2 linked regions of the Daphnia pulex genome follow. The protein of the gene in region 2 purifies or fractionates together with the protein of the main gene of each other region. This does not show direct contact. Links are inferred from orthologs where the notes say so. Each region holds a gene or a part of one and is shown on either strand. Other genes may lie near its edges.

The links. The genes of interacting proteins can lie anywhere in the genome.
Region 1: the proteins of protein argonaute-2-like (region 2) and protein Gawky-like purify together in Drosophila melanogaster (affinity purification with western blotting; 17 studies listed by BioGRID, with this or other methods). This does not show direct contact. The link is inferred for Daphnia pulex from reciprocal best matches to the Drosophila melanogaster genes AGO1 and gw.

The regions. Positions count from the first base shown.
Region 1 is NC_060018.1:6,011,068-6,014,727, reverse strand, and holds part of protein Gawky-like, read right to left. Parts: coding exon 3,277-3,660; intron 3,152-3,276; coding exon 1,598-3,151; intron 1,530-1,597; coding exon 1,077-1,529; 3' UTR 1-1,076. UniProt on the Drosophila melanogaster protein: Required for gene silencing mediated by micro-RNAs (miRNAs). Silences both polyadenylated and deadenylated mRNAs. Required for miRNA-mediated translational repression and mRNA decay. Not required for miRNA target recognition.
Region 2 is NC_060022.1:5,186,185-5,189,369, forward strand, and holds part of protein argonaute-2-like, read right to left. Parts: intron 3,171-3,185; coding exon 2,974-3,170; intron 2,915-2,973; coding exon 2,691-2,914; intron 2,623-2,690; coding exon 2,375-2,622; intron 2,314-2,374; coding exon 2,185-2,313; intron 2,111-2,184; coding exon 1,944-2,110; intron 1,886-1,943; coding exon 1,701-1,885; intron 1,619-1,700; coding exon 1,525-1,618; intron 1,443-1,524; coding exon 1,206-1,442; intron 1,137-1,205; coding exon 937-1,136; intron 868-936; coding exon 826-867; intron 758-825; coding exon 649-757; 3' UTR 1-648.

The DNA of each region.
Region 1 (3,660 bases), on a different chromosome or scaffold from region 2:
AAAGATATACATCTCCCCACTAGAAAACTCGCACAAGTATTTTCATTTCGTTACTTCCGTGAGGGAATAATTCCAGCTTCGTAAGATGATTGAGTCACGAGAAGAGACGGAAGAGAATGAGAATTTAAAAAGAAAAAAGAGGAGGAAAAATTGCGGGGCTGAAGAAGTGGAGGGTAGGGCACTAGAATTAGTAGTAGTTGTCGTTTGTTGAGGTGGATATAGGAGAACAAACAAATTGCAAGAGGAAGAGAGCATTTGAAAAAAAAAAATATCCGTCGCTCTCTATCCCCTTCTCTCTCAAAAGTTTTTGTTTTGTTTCTGATAACATGGTTTCATGACGGTCTCTGGAACGAGAGACACTCTTTCTTTTTAGCTTTTGAAAAAAGTGGGGGACTTGGAGTGGAGCGAGAGAACACCTCGGTAGTGGCAAATAAAGAGACAGAGAAAAAAAAAACAACTGGCACGCACAAAGTGATAGACCACTCCCACACACACACACAAAACAAAATTATTACAAGACACAACAAGAGGACTTACTCTGACCAAAAACAAAGCCTTACATAGGAAAAACTTCGACTAAATTGAATGGAGTGGTGTGTGTGTGGCGCGAGCGATCATAAGACGAGAGGAAATTATTTTGGGGAGTCACGTGAGAAAAAAAAAACGAAACATAGGGATATCATAATATACTACTACTTTGCTTTCTTTCTTTGTAAATGCTTAATGGCCTCATTGGTGTTTTTCGGGGGAAGATTAAGAGGACGGTTCACACTACGCATCAGTGCAGCAGCAACAGCAGCGGCATTAGGCCATAATATAAGAGTAATATTAAATTTGAAAGAGTGACAACTTTTCCGTCACCGTGAATACGAAGGGATCGGGAGGGTGGAATAACACTATATTACGTCTGGCATACACATTAGTTGGTTGATTGCTCTCAGCTGTGAAAATATTTTTGACGAATTGAACATTACCTTGGTATTTTTCTCTTCTCTCATCTATTCTCAAATTGACACGTAATTTTGTCGATTCTCTTTTGCTTTGTTTTTGAGTCACGTGTGTTTGTATCCTCACTTTTACATGGACTCGTTGCCCAGGAGATCGCCAGGCAGAAACGAGTTGAGCGATGCGTTCAGCGATGACGGCGTGGTTCTCAAATCACGATCCAAGTTCGGAGTAGACCAGACTGAATTGGGACCCGTCGACCATGGGCTCGAACTAGGACCACCGGCACCAGATCCCCAATTATCTCCGGCGTTGGCACTTCCCTTTGAGGCGTTGCTTCCTACACCACCTCCGTTGCCGCTTCCGCTGTTGGAACCGGCGCCAGGAGTAGAGCCCCTGACGCCCCACCCACTGGAGGAAACAGCTTGCTGTTGCTGTTGTTGATTTTGTTGCTGCTGCTGTTGTTGCTGCTGTTGGGCGGGCATGCCAAGCTGTTGCAGCCAGCCCTGCACATCAGATTCGTTGGCTAGATCTGCATAAATCGTCGTGTTTCCGAGCACGCAGTTGTTCAAAGCACTTTGGGCCTGTCATCGAAAAAGTTGAGAGCATTAGATCTTCTATTACAACAATAAAAGGTCGTGAAATACAATACCTTGGCAGCTTCTTCGCCAGTAGAATAACGAATTAAAGCAACTCCATGGTTGAGGTAGAGATGGAAGTTATGAAGTGGACCGTGCTGGACGCACAATGTTTTGAGCGTCGAGCCATCGATCTGCGGGGTCAAGTTACGTAACACGAGCCACGACGACGAACCATTGAGAGAACCGGCCCACGTGCCTCCAGAGCCGGCAGTATTAGTTCCAGGCCAAGGTGAGCGGCTGCCTGCTGCACTCCAGTCGCGGCCGGCAGTCTTTGGGCCGACGCCTACCGAAGGGGTGATGCCTGGCGGCGGACCACGAGGCTTGTTTGGTGCGCTCCACGGGTCCGCAGATGGCGGCGGGGCGTCAGACCAAGACGATTTTGGTGCTATCTTGGCAGAACTGTAAGGAGTCGACGTGGACGGGACGGAACTCGACGACGCCGAAGACGGATTGAAAGACCAGGTGGAATTAGAAAGACCCAGGGTGGGGAAGCCCGATTCATTCGAGGAGCTTGTTCCACCACTTCCCACAGGAGGAGGTGAAGCTTTGGTTGAGCTCTGTCCTCCTTTTGATGCGTTGTTTGAGTAAACGTCGGCCTCATTCAGACCAGACATGGCAAAAGTTCCGGGAGTGAGAGTTGGATCGTCATCTGCCGTTTTGATCTGTGGTCCCTTCCATGGTTTGCCAGGCTCGAACTCGGGAACGAGATCCGATATGGAACCAGAATATGAAGAGGTTCCGGCAGCACTGCTCCAACTATCCTTTCCATCGTTGCCTCCCACCGATCCCGGAGCTGACAAATCCTGATTGGTGTCAGGCCAGCCAGTCTCGGACTGAGAGCGCGAAAGACTCGACCAAGCACCGCCGTCTTGACCGAGGACTGGATTCATGTTGGGAGAAGAAAGGCTGCTACCTAGTGGCGGTTTAGCGTTGCTGGGAATTGAACCCGGAGCTCCACCACTGCTCCCGGGTGCACGACTGAATTCCGACATGCCTAGATCAGAAAGATCCTTGTCGAGTGGCGGGTACTTCCACTGAGAGAGCCGAGATTGTCCAGAATCCTGTAAACTCATCCTGTCCAAATTGGACTGAATGCCGTGAACAGAATCCACTTTGAATAGATCAGATGGTTGGCTCGGTGGAGCCCCGGGCGGCTGTTGATTCATCATTTGGCCTTGTTGCTTGACATACAGAGCCTGTTGGGCGGCGATCTGCTGTTGCAAGCTGGCAATCTGCTGTTTGGTTTTGTTCATTTGAGGTACGAGCTGCATCATGGGACCCCCCATAGGGCCTTGTCCCGGCCTACTAAGAGCCATATTGTGCTGTTGACCAAGCTGCTGAAGTACTTTGATCTGTTGTAGCAACTGATTGAGCAGCACCAGCGTCTGAGGAGCCAGTGGCTGATTGAGAATTTGGGGATTCAAATGACCAGCCTGTACAGCCATTTGGATTTGCTGAACGAGAATTCGTAACTGAGTCGGCGAAGGTTGACTACCGGCTCCTGCACCAGACGAAACGCCAGTGTCCACTCGCGACATGTTCCGGACCATTTGTGATTGATTGACCTGCCACATTATAGTTAATAATAATAAAAACATCAATGACGTTTCATTTCAAAGAAACAAGAGCATTAATTATGAGAAATAGTAATGGAATGCTTATCATCTATTATTCAAAGAAGCATCCATACCTGAGGCGGCATTGGTGGCGGTTGCTGAGGCTGAAGAATTTTGTATGCAGGATTAGGGTTCATTCCCATGCTAGGAGCAGGATTGTTCAATAAGTGATGAGGTGCACCACCACTTCCAGGGTGAACAAAAGGCATTTGTTGACCGGGATTGAATCGAGCGCCCGGAGGATAAGGCGCTCCTCCGTGCGGTCCCATTGGATCGTAACCACCCGAGCCATGGTCATCTCCAAACATCCCACGACCAGAGCGCAGGGTTTCCAGGGCATCTTCCATCACCATGTTGCAATTGCGTAGGACATTCTCCACATCTTCTTTCTTGAAACCCATTTCGGATAAGATGCGGAATTGCTTGCTGCTCCATATCATTTCCTTGGCCAAAGGTTT
Region 2 (3,185 bases):
TTTGTCGTTTTTCTTTGAAGTAGATACGGTCGAGGTCGGGATAAGGGGAAATGCTGATTGGGCAATTTCACGATTTGCTTGGTCCGTACTACATCCACATGCTGAAGGGAGGGGGAAATGCAATTGTAGTTGAGAGCTACTAAATTATCTCTAACCCTTTCTCACACCGCTCTTCCCGTTACTTCGTGTTCAGAGATGATTTCAAGGGATAGGGGGGAACAAATTCAAGTGTTTTTTAAATTGCCACAAGGGAATTAAACATTTTAAGTGCAAAGTCTCGTTTAAAACCCCACCGCAGTATGTGTTTCGACTCCCGCCATAAGCGTGAAAAATATAATGAAAGACTTGACGGCCGTGGACAAATTATTCTTTTGCGCCGGGGATGGCTCTGTTAAAAGGGACGTGTGAAATGCTCCTCCTTGCACGACAGATCAGAGATGTGGTGGTGATGATGGTTGGTGACATGAAATATGTGTTGGATATTGTGCTCGCAAGCTGACCTTCCAAACTAGCTAGAGAAAAACAGCGTCAAGTCTCGTGGAAATACAACAACCCCACACTCCTACTCCATCCTGATCCGCATCCGATATACACGTGATGACCAAGAGACAACTTACTGGGGAGGGAGGAAAAACTTCACGATGACTTTTAAGCAAAGTACATGACTTTCTTGGTATCCGCGTGAACAGTGATAGCACGAGCCATGGCGCCTGGCGTGCGATCTTCGCTGCTGCCACTTTGATGCGAACCTTCTCCACTGTTTCAATAGAAATAGAAAATTTTAGTCATTTTCTAGGCGTTGATTTAACGTTCAAAGAAATGTACCTGGTGTAACTCTTAATGCAATCCTGTAGCGATCCTTCCCCACTGCAAATATTGGAAATCAATAAAGGATTAATAAAGTCTTGTTGCCAACCACCGTCATTTAAATATTACCTGTCGTGCTCCTTCTCCACTAAGTGGTATCTGGCACGGAAAGCCACCAGATGGGCGTAGTAAGCCGGCGCCGGAATGGAGACGGAACGAGTACAGCGCACATAAGTATGACAAAGCTGGTAAGTTAAGCACTGCAATTCGTCAGCGTCAAAGTGGTTGTCATCCCACAAAACGTGATAGTGGCTAGGACGGCTAGTACCCTGTACATAAAGAAAAATACATTAAATATCAAACCACTGAATAAATATTAAGGAAATAAATTGTCTCACCTGAATGCCTTGATGCGAGCACAAGTAAAAGTCGAACTCGGTTGGGTGTGTAATGCCCGCGTCGACAGTGGTACCGGCGGGAATGTTTCCAGATTTGCCAGATTGCTCTTTCTTGTCAGCACAGAAGAGCCTGGTGTGATGGCGCTTCTGAACCACGATGAACGTGATACCTGGTTTGTAGTCAGGTTCCAATTTTATGCATGCCTCGCGGATAGCGGTCAACTCATGTTGCAAAACCTACAGAAAACGTGTCGTTTATTCGAACGTATTTCTTTTTTAGAAAGCCAAAGTTAGTTTAGTCTAGTAGAATGTTGCTTACGGTGCTAAACTGGCCTTCACTGGCGCCATCGCGATACATGATAATTCGGTTGGGTTTGAACCTTGTAGTTTTGTAGAACAAGATCAATAATTCCCTGGGAAAAAAAAGGAAAGTTCATCAGCCTCAAAAACACATGAAACTCAATATGCGGATTATCAAAATGTCAAATTTCTTACCGGACCATAGCACTGAGCTCTTGAATAACTTCTTGGCGGTGTTGTTGGACGCGAACAGTTGCAGCGTATCTCGAAGGATGAGCATCCATCGAGCCCACAACGGCTGCGATCGACGGCTTTTTGTTGTCACCAGCTGGAGGATGAGTTATATCGGCCCCAAGGAAAATGACAGGCTCATTGAACACCTAAGAAAACAACACACATGAGCATTTTCGTGTGAAAAGTAGTTGATTTACGTTTTACCTTAGGACGAATGGTAGGAACAAGGATACTGTTAACACCACCAAGTTTAACGTTGATCTTCAGACACAAATTGGACAGAGTTTGAGGCGATGTTTTGTTGACATTCTTTGCTTGTACGCACTGTGTGGCCATGCCAAGTACAGTATCGCCAACACGTTTGACTTCGGCTATTGGAATAATCAAATTAAAAACCTTCATTATTGTCGATGTCGACACAAGTAGAATGTGTAAATGATAGTACCGTAAACAGGAGTTTTGCCCGGTAGAACGACACACACCAACTGGAGACCTTGGAAGGTTGACTTGAGGTAGCGGAACATAGGCTCCACTTGATCGGGGCCAGTGGCATATTTGCAGAAACAAGGTTGGCCTAAACAATATTCAATTTAATGACAACCCATTCTCATAATCCACAATTATTTCGTTATTACCAATGATGGGCATCCCGGCGTCATTACTTATCTTCTGCAATTGCTGTGTGAAATTTCTTAGCGCATCTTCGCGAACTGTTCTTTGGGGTGCAAAGCAAGCGATTGCCCAAACGCGAATCTCCACTCCGGTGAAGAATTGCTTGCCACGCATATCCCAGACACCTTGATTAGGTAGCGCCTGTTGCTTAGTCCTTCCCCCATATTGCAGTTTTGGTGGCGGAAGCACACGACCGCGCACTTCCATCATGCTGCAAAACAAAGTCGAAGTTACATTTTTAATATGTCACTCGTAAAGAATTGCAAATCAATAACTGACCTATTGGAAATGGTCAATCCAAACTCCTGAACGTAGGGATCGTTATTGAAGTCGGCCTTTCGAATAAGATTATTGATCTCACGCTCACGGTCGGGAGCCGATCGGGCAGTGGCTTTGATCATGGTCGATGTCTGCATATCAGTCAGTTTCTTTATGCATCGTTGCCCGGCTACAATGTTGCAAACTTCCAGCGGCAAATAGGTGTGCTTGTGCTCTTGTCCAACCTGCAGGAGAAAAAAATTGATTAAGAGATGTAGGGGGATATGACCAAATTAGAACCAACCTGCAGGCAAGGCAGATGCGGGTAGCGCAATTTCATTTTGTATTTGTCCAGGAAATATTTGGCCACTGTACACTCGACAGTTTGACCGTTCTCCAACTGCAGTGGGAAAGACTGCATTTGAGCTGGACGGCGAGTAACGTTGCATACACGATATTTTCGTCGCATTGTTCCACAGTGGGTAATTTCAATTTTTAAGCCTATGGGGATTCAGA